2 linked regions of the Drosophila melanogaster genome follow. The gene in region 1 interacts genetically with each later gene. Each region holds a gene or a part of one and is shown on either strand. Other genes may lie near its edges.

The links.
Region 2: of Nek2 (region 1) and Ret, changing one enhances a phenotype caused by changing the other (phenotypic enhancement), as found in Drosophila melanogaster (one study listed by BioGRID).

What each region holds. Positions count from the first base shown.
Region 1 is NC_004354.4:7,886,889-7,894,805, forward strand, and holds Nek2 (Nek2), read right to left. Parts: upstream 4,759-7,917; 5' UTR 4,612-4,758; coding exon 2,404-4,611; 3' UTR 2,178-2,403; downstream 1-2,177. Other genes in the region: Acat1 (Acetyl-CoA acetyltransferase 1), read right to left, coding at 550-1,782; ND-MNLL (NADH dehydrogenase (ubiquinone) MNLL subunit), read right to left, coding at 6,242-6,412; CG45089 (uncharacterized protein), read right to left, coding at 6,434-6,598; p115, read left to right, coding at 7,239-7,917.
Region 2 is NT_033779.5:21,194,591-21,202,301, forward strand, and holds the start of Ret (Ret oncogene), read right to left. Parts: upstream 4,173-7,711; 5' UTR 4,063-4,172; intron 907-4,062; 5' UTR 540-906; coding exon 473-539; intron 1-472. Other genes in the region: CG31624 (uncharacterized protein), read right to left, coding at 4,811-5,347; CG31988 (uncharacterized protein), read right to left, coding at 7,126-7,662.

The sequences.
Region 1 (7,917 bases):
GGTCTACATCCTGACCGCAGGACTATATCTCCTGTCGCTGGTCGTCTTCATATGCGAACTTCTGGCCTCCAGACGAGCAGGGCTCTGAACAAAATATTTTACTTATTATTACTAAATAAATTATGAAAACAAGAGAGAATGCTAATGCTTTTACTTTACGAGTAACGGGTATAATATCCTTAAATGCCGAAATTATCATTTTTTTAGGTATATATTAAATGGTGAATTTATAGGCATATATATATATATATATAAATTCAACAATAAAGAACATTTTCAGCACTTAATTCATTTTTTTCACAGAACAAATATAAGATGTTTAGACTTTGAACCCTATTACCGTCATGGAAGAACACTGATTTGATATACATATAATAATTATTGACTGTTTCATAATTTTATTATGCAAATCACAATAGTTCGTTAAATGCGGCCACGCGCAATCAAGACACTTAACAATTTAAAAAAAAACATAGAGCTTTCCACAATAATCTCGATGGATCAGTAGTAAATGCATTTCTGGTTGAGAGCAGGTCCGCCAGGTGACCTTTACAGCTTCTCGATGAGAATGGAGGAGGCTCCACCGCCGCCATTGCAAATGGAGGCGCATCCCAGCTCGCCCTTCTTCAGGCTGTGCGAAAGATGGGCCACCAGACGGGCTCCGGACATGCCGATTGGATGGCCAATTGACACGGCACCTCCATGAACATTAACCTTGGCTGGATCCACATCCAGTTTCTTGATATTGGCCAAAACGACCAGGGAGAAGGCCTCATTGACCTCCCACATGGCCACGTCTTCCTTGCGAACGCCGGCACGCTTCAGTAATTTGGGAATGGCCAGAGCTGGGGCAATGGGGAAGTCAATGGGATCGGTCTCCGCATCCTGGAAGGCCACAATCCTGGCCAGCGGCTTAATGCCCGCCTTCTGGGCTGCCTCGGCACTCATCAAAACCACGGCGGCACCGCCATCATTCAAGGTGGATGCATTTCCGGCTGTCACAGTGCCATTTTCCCTTTGGAAAACGGTGGCCAACTGTCCAAACTTGTCAAAATTCACCCGCTTGTACTCCTCATCCTCTGAGATGACGATCTCCGGCTTCCTCTTCTGCTGAATCTTCACCGGGGCAATCTCGTCCTGGAACACCTTGTTGGCCCACGCGGCAGCCGATCTCTTGTATGATTCAATGGCAAAGTCATCCTGCTGCTGACGTGTGATCTCCAGTTTTTTGGCCGTATTTTCGGCACAGTTGCCCATGTGGAACTTGTTGTACACATCCCAGAGGCCATCGAAAACAATGCCGTCGGTGAGATTGACGCCGCCATAGGGCGTGGCTCCCCTCTTCAGATAGTAGGGAACATTCGACATGGACTCCATACCGCCGGCAACGACCACATCAGCATAGCCGAGCATCAGGGATTGGGCGCCCAGCATAACGGCCTTCATGCCCGACGAGCACACCTTGTTCACCGTGGTGCAGCATACATTGGTGGGCAGTCCGGCGAAGATGGCAGCCTGACGGGCGGGGGCCTGTCCCAGACCAGCAGATACCACATTGCCCATAATCACCTCCTGGACATCGGTCTTCGCAATTCCGGCCTTTTCGATGGCCGCCTCGATGGCACGGGCTCCCAATTGGGTAGCCGTCAGTGGGGCCAATTGACTTTGGAAGCTGCCAATTGGTGTGCGGGCTGCCGAAACCACCACAACTTCGGCGATTTTGGAGCTGTAGTTGCGATGGGCGCTCCAGCGACGCGTGGCCTGCAGCAGTCGGGCGGACATCTTGGAATTTAATTAATTTGTATTAACTAGCACAGCAATCACACAGGTAAATGGCAAGAATCCAATCAGAAATCACGCCAGACCTGTTGCTTGCGTAACAAACCGGTAATCGGTCTATCGATAGGCAACAGCTGGCGCGGTAAAAGTGTTGGCAACTGTTAAATAAGATTAAAGCGACTGGTAATTTTCTATTAGTTAGCATTCTTTAAATGTAATTTTTAATTTTTGCTGTTTTAAGTATATTGCTTGAAAACTACGCTGTAAAGATGCAATGCTAAGTTTATATATTCTTTTTACAATACCCAGCACTGAAAATGCGTAAATTGAACTTAACGGTTACAAGCGAACAACAATAAATAAAAACACGAAAATTGAAATTTTAAACACAAATGTATCTCATTTCATCAATATTTATTTTAAGACTAATGCAAATTGCACAATGAATGGCAGCTGAAAAAACTGGAATCTTAATGCTAATAATACGTGTTTAAAATATGGCATTCAAAAAAATTTTTGCATAAAAAAAATGTAAATATTTCGGAACTTATTCCACATCACAACGCTCATAGTCTCCATGGTTGCCATGGCTCCTGGACTGCACATCTTTCCTGATCAATTTGATCAGATCACCATCTGGTCGCGCGTTGTTAGCTTCTGATGGCCAGTGGCCACCACCAAAGACCTCCGCATGCGGTTCCGCTGCAGCGTGGAATTCCGTTCCCTCACCGATTGCCGCAGATGCTGGCGACGTGCTCCTCCGGGTCCAGAACCAACGACTCCACCTCCGCTTGCCTCCCTCTCGGCTGCATTCATGGCCGCCAGCAGCTCGAAGGCTTGTTTCTTCTGCTCCTTTGTCCAGAGATTGGCCACTGGTGGAACTTCTGCCGGCTGTTCCTGCGTGATCGGTGGCTTGACGGCCAAAGGAGGTCGCTGCACGCGAGTTGCAGCTGCTTGGGCTACCTGGTTGACCGATGGCAAGGATTTGGATGTCGCCTTGGATCCGCGACTCAACCCGAAAAGCGAGAGTATAGATTTCCTGCGGGTGGAGGAGGCCTGGCTGTCACCGGAATCATTGCTGGATACGCTCATTTGCATGGGAACGCCAGTGGGCGGAGGATTCACTGCCGGTTTAACCGCCGGTGGGGGCATATTCTCGATACCATAGGTAACAAACTTTTGGGGCGACTTGAAGGTAACCTTACGCAGAGTATTTAGCGATTTTGGTGCCGGAAGTGTGGCTAAATTGAGTTTAGCCACCGTGGGCGACGTCTCGTTGAGTTCGATAGTGCAGTAGGTGTCATCATGGTGCGATTTCGCTGGCTTCCTAGGAGGAATGGGCGGAGCTATCGGCTGTCTGCAACTACAAGTGTGTTTCTCCTGCTGAAGAAGTTTTTCCTGCATCTGCCGCTCCAGCGTTTGCACGCGCTGTTCGGCCAGCTGTAACTCCTGCTCCCGGGTCTGCAGCTCTTCGAGCTTCTGCTGCAACAGGGATTCTTGGGCACGAATGGCGTGGAGACGGGTCTTTAGTACTTCATCGAATATGTTTTGGGTAAGAGCACGAGGACTGCTAGGGGCCTCCTTTAGAAGCTCCTGATCCCTTTTCTGCTGCTCCTGATCCTTTTTACGGCGCCGCTCTTCCGCCAGTTCCACCTGCCTCTCCTCCGCTCGCTCCTCTCTCCTTATACTTTCATAAAGAGAGGGATCCGACAGCTGTAGTTTCTTGGCAGGAAAGATTTTGCGCTTGGCGGAGTAGAAGAGTTCACTTCGCAAATCTGGAGTAAACACACCAGTAACGCTGAGTCTCCTTTGCCCATAGCCTTCATTGAAGCTGTACTGTTCCGTAAACATGGTGCTCGATAGCTCTGGATGAACTCCATCTTCCTCTTCGTCCTCGAAAAGCCTGGCACCCGAAGGCAGTGTGTAGAAATCCTCTCCAGAATCAACTAGAATTGGGAACTTGCCATCCAACTCGCTAATATTACGCACCACCAGAGGATGCCGAATGATAACCTCGATGCCAGGACGCTGTTCATGATCCACTGCCAGCATGAAGGCGATGATCTCCTGCAGATCAGTACTATAGATTGCCGGAATCCGACTGAACTCACCCTGGGCGATCTTCTCGGACAACTGGTCAAAGGCTCTGCCGCGAAACGGCGGTCTTAGGGCACACATCTCGTATACCAAACAACCAACGGCCCAGACATCGCTCTTCCGATCGTATTTCCTGCCCTTCACCAACTCCGGACTCATGTAGTGCGGAGTGCCCACAAAGGAGGCGGCAAAGCTCTGATCTCGTCGCAGCATTCTGGCCAGACCGAAATCTCCCAGTTTGGCATTCCCGGCCGCATCCAGGAAAATATTTGCTGGCTTGATATCGCGATGCAAGATGGTTCCGTTGGGGATTTTGTTGTGGCACACCTGAAGCGCCCGGCAAAGTTGGAAGAGCACCCGCCAGATGTAGGGCTCCTCAAACCGCTGCCTCTGGGATCTCGCTCGCTGGACAATCTGGGCGAGATCGCCGCCGGCACAGCACTCCATAACAATGTACACCGACTTGGCCTCTCGGTTCACCAGATGATGGTAGTATTGCACAATGTTAGGATGCTGGAGCTGCCGCAGAACACTGATTTCCGAAACCAAAGCGTCGCACTTGGCCTCGTCCAGTTCATCGTAGTTCATTCCCTTCCAGGCGAACAATTCACCGGTGCTTTTGTCGCGCACCTTGTAGCAGGTGCCGAAGGATCCATTCCCCATCACGGCCAAAACCTCGTAATCCTGCAGGGTCTTTTGCGAAAAGTCCATGCCGGCAGATTCCTCTCCGCTCATTTTGCCTTAAGTCTTTTTTTTACTCTTTGGGTATTTTGGGTATTCCGCCGCCGATTACAAATGATCCGCTTGCTACAAAACCCAAACACGATTTGAGACTGGTTTTTGGGATGCAGGATTTCTGGAATTCTCATTGCTACCTGCAAGAACGGGAGAGAGAGCAACAACAAGTGCGCGAGAGAGAGGTTTAAGTAGTGCCGCTACCCCGCTAAATAGGGCGGAAGAATGAATATTCTAAAAACAAGCTAGATTTGTAATTTTTACAAAATACATTTTGCAAATATGCAATCTAATGATATAATTACATACATAAACAAATAGCTATTTCATCATTAAATTAAGAAATTGTAATATGGATTAAAATACAAAACTATTTAAAAACCAATATACAAGACAACTACCGATTAAAATTGATAGCAGTCATTTCAACCTGACCTTCATATAAATAACCTCTCCATAAAACCCTTTCGCACCTGCATGCTAATGCCCAATTTGGCTATTTTCCCGCCGAGAGACACCAGCACTGTTATGTTATTGTTGCACGTCTGGATCTCTCGTTTCCTTCCAGGAACAAAGATCGTGCTATTACCCTCTCGCTCCCAACCACAGTTCAACGGTATCCACTTGCAAATCTCTGGCATCTCACCCTCTCGCTCACGCTCTCCCCCGCTGTGAGAGAGAGAAAGCCCTTGAAAGGCGAAAATCTGGAAAATCCGTTCCATTTGATCCCACTGCGCCTGTGTACAAACTACTGACCATTGGAAACAATGGTCTAGAGAGGGGCAGCACGCCCAAGAACACAATTCCAGCGATTCATCACGCTCAATTTTGGAACTCGAGCCCAAAACCGATCTTAAACCGGAATCCAAAACCGAGTACAAACCCCTAGCCCTGAGCCATAAAAATAAATTAGTTTTGTTCCATTGGCATTTCAATTTGCTGCCTTGTTTGTTAAAGTGGAAATGTCCTTATCGGATTTCATATTTCATATTTGAAGTGAGCGATTATCCATTCTGTCTAACGGTTTTTACTGGAAGCAGTTACATAGTACATATAGGCATGGTCGTGCAAATGAAAGTTTTTAGGGGGCTCATGCTTATAAAAGTTTTTTTTTTCTATTAATTCTTAAAAATCTCGATTCACATGTATTAGATAATTCAATGCCATTTAACGAAACTCATTTAAAAAGACTACTCTCGGTTACCACATTTCAAGTGATTTATGTGACATGCTCAAGAAGTTCTACAATAAATAATAAGAGTTTTGGTAGAATACACCAATGCTCTTCTAAAATATCCAGCCTACGCCCCTGATCCGAACTAAGCAGAACTCGCATATCGTGCAGCGATGCCCAGGTAAAATCCTTCGAAAAACGAGTTATCTCCTTGGATTTTTCATTGGTTTTCGGCTTATCGTTAGACGTGTGTTGAGGTTTTTATGTTTTTCCTGAGTAAAACAAACAATGGTACGCAATCCTTCACAAATAAATCACGTTCCCGACCGCAAATCTCGTCCGCTGGCCATGCAGGTAAACTAGACGACAGGCGTATTTCACATTTCTCCGGTTTATTGAATAACAGTGAATTGGGGGAAAAAAAATAATATTTTGGGATGGCGATGTTGGGCAGGCCTACCAGGATGGCGCCTTACCCTCGCTGCCGGCGGGACGGCCGTATAGGGCACTCTTGTCCCGGAACATGGTCATACGTTCCGTTTCCTTCTTGTCCAGGAAGTGGCCAATGGCAAATCCCAGCAGGGGCAACGCGCCCCACAGTGCTCGCTTATCCAGTCCCAAGACCATGGTGTATATTTGTGTATCCTCTTAGCGCTGATCCTTCAGCTGGGCTCGGTGTGCCAACTGGAGCTGCTGGCGTTTCCACTGGCGGGTGTGCGACCAATCTGCGTAAATCGATCCGACTGCAACAGTGGGAAAGAATATCACTGCGCCGTACTTTCGAGCCAATTGAACCACAATCCCACTGCCCATAGGTCTGCAAGACAAGCACAGGAGATGGCGAGATTTACATATGATTTACACAAATTGATGTGGGGATTGTTATGTTATGGGTTGACATTTTGCCGCATTACGTAATAAAAACGAGTGATTTCTCCCAGCGTCGTGATAACTGTGTTGATATTTTTGAGAACTTCTTACGCCGCGTGTGTGGAACGCTTTATATTGTATTTTTTGGGATTCTCTCGTTTAGTTTTAAACACAAATTTGCTAAATTAGTTTTGTTTTCAACTTACTTATAGCATCGATAGCACCAGGGCTGTCGAGTCGTTTTTAGTTTAATAAAATTTTGGCAGTAAGACTATCGCCGACAGGGATGCCACTCAGCTTAAGTCCCGACGTCAGCTAGAAAGTAGCAATATTTTATGTAATTCAAAAAAAAGTTTTAGATTATCAAAAAAGTGTAAATATAGGTAATTACACAAACATGGTCAAATATGGTAAATTGTAATTCTAAAAATATATTTAATATATTTAAAGACAAGCCGCTTATCGATAAGTGGGCGTCTATCGGACTTTAGCCATCGCTAAGCCGCCCGTCAATTGTTTTCATGAATTGACGTGTCTTGTTGAATGCGAAAAAACCCAGAATAGACCGTAAACACACACTCGCATGGAGTTCCTGAAGAGTGGCATCAAAACGGTGCTGGGCAGCACGGAGCCGGGTCAGCAGCCGAGTGCCGCCGAGACGGTGGAGAAGCTGGTGGACCGTGTCTACTCCTCAACGCTCCTGGAGGATCGACGGGATGCCTGCCGAGCGCTAAAAGCCCTGTCCCGCAAGTACCGCATCGAGGTGGGCGCACAGGGCATGCCTCCGCTGGTCCAGGTGCTCCAGAACGACGGACAGGATGCAGAGATCATCAGCTATGCGCTGGACACACTGTGCAACGTGGTTACTAGCGAGGAGTTCGACGAGGAGGCTGATAATCCCACCGTTTCGGTGAATGTGGGCGAGCAGTTCACGGAGATGTTCATCAAGACACCGGAGCATGTAACCCTGGTAATGGGCTATCTGGACGAATACGATTTTCGAGTGCGTCGCGCTGCCATCCAACTGATTACGTCCCTCATTTCGAACAAGACGCGGGAGCTGCAGGATTTGATTCTGGTCAGTCCGATGGGCGTTTCCAAGCTGATGGATCTGCTGACGGACAGCCGCGAAGTGATTCGCAACGATGTCCTTCTGCTGCTTATCGAACTGACCAAGGGCAACTCAAACATCCAAAAGATTGTGGCCTTTGAGAATGCCTTTGACCGCCTTTTTGAAATTGTCCGTGAGGAGGGCTGTTCGG
Region 2 (7,711 bases), on another chromosome or scaffold:
CAACCTAAAAAAGTCATAAAAGGAGATTGCACTTTATTACACCTCTAATGGAAACATCATATCTTCGGTTGCATTCCCACTGTGCATATATTGGTGTTAAGGTTATCTGGGAGATTCGTTCACTGGCACTCTATGGAAATGAGGGTAATTGCCTTTTGCGAGATTCCCATTTGCCACAGAAACAGGAGAAAAAGGGGTTAACGTGCTTTACTACATATAAGTTGATATACATTGACCGACGACTCCAATACCCAATTAATAAAACATTTAACTAGTTTCAAGTTAAAAAATCCATTTTGGCAAAGCCTTGTCACAGTAGTCAGTTATAAAAGGTGTTAATTGTTTCGACTATTCTTGTTTCCCAAGCTGCCTAAATTCAAATTGAAATGGATCGATAAATCACCCAATCGACCACATTGAGTAATAAAGCTTAACATTTTTGCCATCCTTAAATTGTTTGTAGCTCACTTACCCGCACAGTGTTTACGTTGGGTTATAATTGTGAGCAGAGTCACAAAAACAATAGTAGTTGACTCCATCGTGGTTACTTTTTCAAAAAGTCAGTTATCAGTCGGCAATTTTCGCTCACTCGTAGACGCACATTACATATTTACACATAGTGAACGTCGCTTTTAATGGGTTTTCTCTACAAATTGTCGCTATTTGTTTGATTTTTTATGTTCCGTGTTTTTTTTCTCTGTGATGGTATTCTTTTCCAATGCTGTATCCAATTAGCCACGTTCGATTCCGTCACAAGCTTAATTACTTTTGCCACAAATTGATAAGTAGCATTTATCAATTAATGTGCGAAAACCAGAGCAGAAAATATGAAAAAATAACAATGAGTTTTGCGGATATTTAGACCACGAACATTAATAGTTTTTCGTTTTTGGTGCAGAACGTAAGCTTTTGAAAACAAGTAACAGAGGTTTAGGTTTACCAAAATAACAATTTGGAAAATTAATTTTTTTTATTTCAAAATGAGTTTTCGTAAACATCAATGTACCCACTGAAAGGGTATGACTGCTAATTATTTTTATTGATAGCGGCGCCCACGCTCCCGTTTGTCATTTAAGCAATCTAATTTATCACTCAATTAATTCCGCACAAAATTCTCAAGAGCCGCGCGGTCTACGAATTCTGATTATTGCAATTCAAAATGAGCTTTGAATTTGTTTCGCATATTGATATTGTTATTAAATGGTCTTCGGTTGCTATTTTTGGCCAGCGCCAGGTGAGAGGCTTATTGGCGTTGCTTTCTGTTTTTTGTTTTATATTTTTCTAATTCTAAATTTTAAAAGTCGAGCGCCTCGGGTGCGTGCTATTTGTTGCTCTTATCATTATTAATTGTTCTTTTTGCCGATTCACTCCATGTCGAATGGCTTTCAGTTTGCTCAATCGGTTTTTAAGTGGAATAATTTAATTAAATTATTTGGGCAAACAATGTGGGTTTACTTCACAATTTGCTCTGGCTGCCTTAAGTCAAAAAGTTGAATGGTTTTTGAGACAGTTTCGGGCTTAAAATTACCAGAGTTTTGTATACAGTGGTAATGCTAATTTATTAAGATTTCTAAACTTCCTAACCAACTGCCGAAAACCCTGATGAATTTTGAATACGAAAAACAATAGAACTAGTTACGATAACTAATTCTATGCAAGTACCAAGCAACGCTCAACGAGGACGTGTCAAGGAAAAGGCAAAAAAAGTTTGTGGACGTGCGAGTACTCTACCTACTCCATACCCCACAGAGTACTCTAGGTACTCCACTCCACATCGCTCCAGTGCGGATGGATGGACGGCATATGTGTGGTATCCAGCGGTGCACGGCAGGTGTGATAAAAAGAACCCGAAAGAGACAATTGCGGCGTGAACTACCCGCTGGCCAGGGGAATGGCAATGGAAGATAGCACGCATAATTCAAACGAGCTCAAAGTCAAACAACGTGATAAGCAATTCACAAACACTGGCCGAAAAGTCGAATGGGAAAAACTGTGTAAACTGAAGCTGAAACTCATTGAATTTGGATCATTTCAATTTATTGGTAAATGGGATTTGCTTTAAGTAATTTCGGTATTTTGGTACTTAGTACAACACTCTTCTATCCGTTTTTCTTAATCATTGCAATCACATTTGCTTGAAATAAAGCACATTTTCTAAAGATAGTTTCCGATAGCATGGCCAAATGTGCGATTATCACAGTTTTATTCGCAGTGTATTCAAAGACCGAGAGACCGACTAACTGACTGACTGACTGACTGACTGGCAGTCCAAGTGTCTGCTGTCTACTTTTCGTCTGTGGGCCTCTTCAGCACCTGAGCACTTTAAAGTTCAAATCTTTTGACACACTGGGAGCTCAGTTGGCGGATGCTAATAACATACGACTTGACACAAAGAGGCTTTTGCAGCAGACACACACAGAAACTCAGAGACATTCACTGGAAGCCAACCGGTTGCCAACTGGAGGGGCTCTCAAAGGCTCGGGCCATGGCGTTTCCCCATTAAAGGTTAAGCGCGACCCAGCCGATCCGGGTGGACTTTTAAGGTGCGTCTATAGCCGTCCTGTTGCTCGAAACGCCAAAAATGGCAATTTCCATATAAAACTTATGCGAAGCCGGCAAACTTACAAACATCCGACGACCGCAAGAGTCAAAGTACGACTGTGGAGGTTCTTCAGTGCCAGTGACTGCCCCGACTGTTTTTTAACTGCACTGCGACAAAAAAAGATTCTAAGAATGCGTACTGGGAGCTTAATTTTAATCAAATGTTTGCCTTTTGCATTGCTTTATCATAATGAAGAACATTTTGCATTGCAAAGATTTAATGAATACAGAAATGTAAAAAAAAATTTTTTAATGTGTCGTGTTTAAAAATATTATGGCTTACACAATAAAAAAAAATGTTGCTTCATTTGGTTTCATCGAATTATTGCTACTTTTTCAATCTTTCCCCTAACTTTAAATGGTATTTTATATATGAGTATTGGTATAATGAGCTGTGAATAAAAACCAAATAGAATAATTCGATGATATTATTGACTTAGGCTTGGACCTTTTCCAGTGCCATCGGCTTGTAAGTTATTTTTTCGTTCACAGACATCTACGAATTGAAAAAGAATGCCAGAGTAGCGTCAATAAATTTGGCCTGGAAGCTTAGAGCCTGGCTTGGATTCCATTTCCACGAAAAAAGGTTCTGGAATGACAGCCGCTTTAAAGGTGTGCGTGATGTTCTTTTTGATCCAACACAGTCAGCAATAGCAAGTATTACAAACCCTAATTGATCCCATTGATTGAGTTTTTAGACCTGATCGCTTGTAGACACATTCGTAAAATGCAAATTCACATCGCGACTGACATTTGCATATGCTAACAATTAATTTTCTGTCACCTAGGTAATCAAAATAAAACATTTTCCAATTAATCCCACATTTTATAATTTGTAAGATTAACATTTTTATAAGCTCTGCCTCCACCTGAGCAAACGCAAGCACGAAAGACCTTAACAGGCATTTAAAATGTAGAAGTACAAGATTAGATATCTTTTGTATTAATTAAAATAATTATCAATTAGAATAAACGCTCAGACCACCCACACTTAGTGTTTTACTATCAAAGATGTGTCTTTGCATACATACATATATGTATATATATATATATTTATAGCTAATCTGTTATCCCGCCACTTCAGCTTTAATATATTAAAATATTTTCCTCAATAAACTGCAATTACTTGAAGTTGCAAATTGAGTAAACTAATTCCACTTCAACACGCACGGCTAAATCACAATTATCTGATGCCAATCTACACGATATACTGTATTGAGTTGTCAGTGCCACTAGACGTGAGGATATTGGCTGCATTTGGAAAATCCGAATCTGGAAAATCTGGCCATAGATCGCAAATAAATTTCAAAGTTCGCAACATACGTAAACCACGATCTTGATTTTGATAGACACGATTTATGGAGGCTTGCAGCTGCTGCAGCTTTTTACAGACTCCTTAATTGTTCGACTCAAACGGCAATTATTTATGGGACAGTTTCAACAGTGTAATTAATTAGCCACCTCTCTTTTCCCGTTTTCGGGCAGCTTTTCCGCGGAAATACTTTTTGGTTTGTGGAAAATCGCTTAAAGACCAACCGAACCGCTTTGCACGAGCTCCGTTTGAAAAATGAAACTGAAACCGGCAGCCGGCAACTCCAAAGCCGCAGAGCCCACAAAATCGTAACGAAAACTTGACTAACGAAGCCGCTTCGTGTATTTTACCCGAATGTATGAATTTTCCACGATGACGGCACGTCAGCACACCCTCGCAGAGTTTTCCATTTTCCGCTGCACTGCTGGGATACCCCTCCTCCAAACAACATAATTCCACCGACTAATGGCGTTTATGAGATAATCAGATGTGCATGTTCCAAGGCTGGGTAGCATATTTACCCTTGGAAACATGATCTCATATCAAGCACACTTTCCTCGACAGCTTCTTTTCACTGGGTTTGGGGAAAATATTTACTCAAAATTGGGAAAGGGCTTGCGTTCTAGTTTATCTCGCAGTAATCAGTATGTTGTTGTGGGTGTTGTTGGTCTTAGGCAAATCTTAACGATAAAAGGGTTTACCTGGCCACCCCAATACAGAGACTTTACATATTTATTTTTATTTAGTGTGTGCGTGTGCGAAATGTTAAGTGTGGTCAAATGTGTGGGTCTGATTTCTTTCATGCCTCTAGGCTTCATAAGCATCGGGAACTATTTCAACATTAGTGTAAGAAAGGAACTAAACAATTTGGAGTAAGATCATGGGTCCGGGACGATGTTAGCAATTGCAGGCGGGGCACACGGGCTTGTCCCCGTCGATGGTAAAAGTCTGCGAGGTTATAGGATTCTCGCATTTGTTGCACTGGAAGCAATTGCGATGCCACTTCACGTTCATGGCGAGCACCGCTGAGTCCGTTATAGGCTTCTCGCACTTGGCGCACCTGGCAGCAAAGAGGTTCTCGTAATCCTGTTTGCAATAGGGCTTGCCGTCGCGCTCATAGAACGTTTGACTGGCGAGCGGCTTCTTGCAGGCACCGCCGCAGCAAAAGCAAGCTTCGTGCCACCTCTCCCCCATGGCGCAGATGGTTTTTTCAAGGATCGGCTTCTTGCAGCCGGCACAGGTGTAGGTGTACCGCTCCACGAAGCACTTGTTGCACACTGGTTCTCCGCTCTGAACATTGAAGGTGGCATCCAGGATCTGCTCATCGCAGTGGTGGCACAGGAAGTGCTCCGGGTGCCACGTCTTGCCCAGGGCGGTGATCATACGCTTGGTGATGGCCTCCTGGCACTTGTGACACACAATGCTCTCAGTCATTTTGGCTTCTCGATTGGTAACTGCTAATAAAAAATGATTTTTAATGCGCATTACCAAGGGATTGTTCAATTACTCTTTTTTGATTGAATTGCTCGTATATATCGTAAATTGAGGTTAAAATACAAAATGTACAAAACAGGGCAGCTATCGATTATTTTATTGAAAGAAACAACGGAAGATGGCTATGGAACGATAAACACTGGGCAACGCAAATATTAATGAGACAAATTATAATTCTGTACTTATTTTAAGATTGGGTGTATTTCTTACTGGGTTTGTCGCCTGTTTCACTACTTCCTCTTTTCGCAGTGTGTTTTTCCTAGTTCGTAATTGTACTGTTCTCATATATCAAAACAGTTGTCACAGGGCCACCGTTGTTACTTTACTTTCTATTAGATGTTTCACACAAAATGGGAGCACAACAACAAGCAATAACGGGTATAATAAGGGTATACTAGATTCGTTAAAAAGTATGTAACAGGCAGAAGGAAGCGTTTCCGAACATACAAAGTATATATATTCTTGATCAGGATCAATTGCCGAGTCGATCTAGCCATGCCCGTCTGTTCGTATGAGATTCAGCATACAAATTCTAGAGACAACGATGCAGCGCAAGTTTGTTGGCCCATGCTGCCACGCCCACAAGCCGCAAAAAACGGCCACTCCCACACTTTTAAAAAAGTCTTGATATTTTTTTACATTTCATTTTTTATCAATTTGCAAAAAAACTTTTTGCCACGTCTACTCTAACGCCGTAAAACCGCCCATAACTGCTACGCTAACATTTTAGAAATTTTGAAAATTATTTCTTCATAATTCCATAACTTTTTGCCACGCCCTAAAACCGCACTAAATTGCTACGCCTACACTTTTGAAAACTGTTGATATTTTTATTAGTCTTGGAAATTCCTATCGATTTGCCAAAAAAAACTTTCTGCCACGCCCACTCAAACGCCCTAAAGCCAAAAACTGCCACGCACTTTTGAAAAATGTTTAGATTTTTCTTCGTTTTATTGTTTGTCTTGGCAATTTTTATATGTATACCAAAAGCACTGTGGACACGCCACTCCTTTCACCTTAAAAACTCCCAAAACAGTAACGCCCACATTTTTAAACAATTTTTACTCATTTTTTTCTATCGATATCCCAGAAAAATTATTAAATTTCGCTTTTGCATTCACACCAGCTGAGTAACCGTTATCTGATAGTCGGGGAACTCGTATGTAAAATTCTATCTTGTTCTTAATTTTTTTGTATTAATTCCATATTTATCTAGATTACACATCTGCGTAACCGATTCGTGACTACGCCAAGAGACGGCCACCACTTCATATCGAGAAGAATCGATAAGGCAGTTGTACTGCGATCTTAACGGAAAGATTTTTTAAAGCTCTTCAATTTTTGTTTTTAAAATTAAATAATTCATTATTTAAAGTGCTGCCAAAAGCTTGTTATTTAACGAAAGGCTGCAACATATTGGAAAGGGCTTGCTCGACCTTATCTCACAGTAATCAGAATGTTATTTTGGGTGACCAACACCACTAAGGCAAATCTTAGGGTATACCTGTCTACCCCAATACAGAGACTTAACATATTTGTTTTTTATTTTTATTTAGTGTTTGTGTGTGTATTAAGTTTGTGTGTTAAATGTGTAAGTCTGTTTTCTTGCATGCCTCTAGGCTTACTAAGCTTCGGGAACTATTTCAACATTATTGTAAGCAAGCAAATGAACAATTTGGAGGAAGAGCAAGGATGCACCATGGTTATCCGGGACGATGTTAGCAATTGCAGGCGGGGCACACGGGCTTGTCCCCGTCGATGGTGAAAGTCTGCGAGGTTATAGGATTCTCGCACTTGTTGCACCGGAAGCAATCGCGATGCCACTTCACGTTCATGGCGAGCACCGCTGAGTCCGTTATAGGCTTCTCGCACTTGGCGCACCTGGCAGCAAAGAGGTCCTCGTAATCCTTTTTGCAATAGGGCTTGCCGTCGCGCTCATAGAACGTTTGATTGGCGAGCGGCTTTTTGCAGGCACCGCCGCAGCAAAAGCAATCTTCGTGCCAGCTCTCCCCCATGGCGCAGATGGTTTTTTCAAGGATCGGCTTCTTGCAGCCGGCACAGGTGTAGGTGTACCGCTCCACGAAGCACTTGTTGCACACTGGTTCTCCGCTCTGAACATTGAAGGTGGCATCCAGGATCTGCTCATCGCAGTGGTGGCACAGGAAGTGCTCCGGGTGCCACGTCTTGCCCAGGGCGGTGATCATACGCTTGGTGATGGCCTCCTGGCACTTGTGACACACAATGCTCTCAGTCATTTTGGCTTCTCGATTGGTAACTGCAAAAAAAAAATGTGTTTGTTAATAC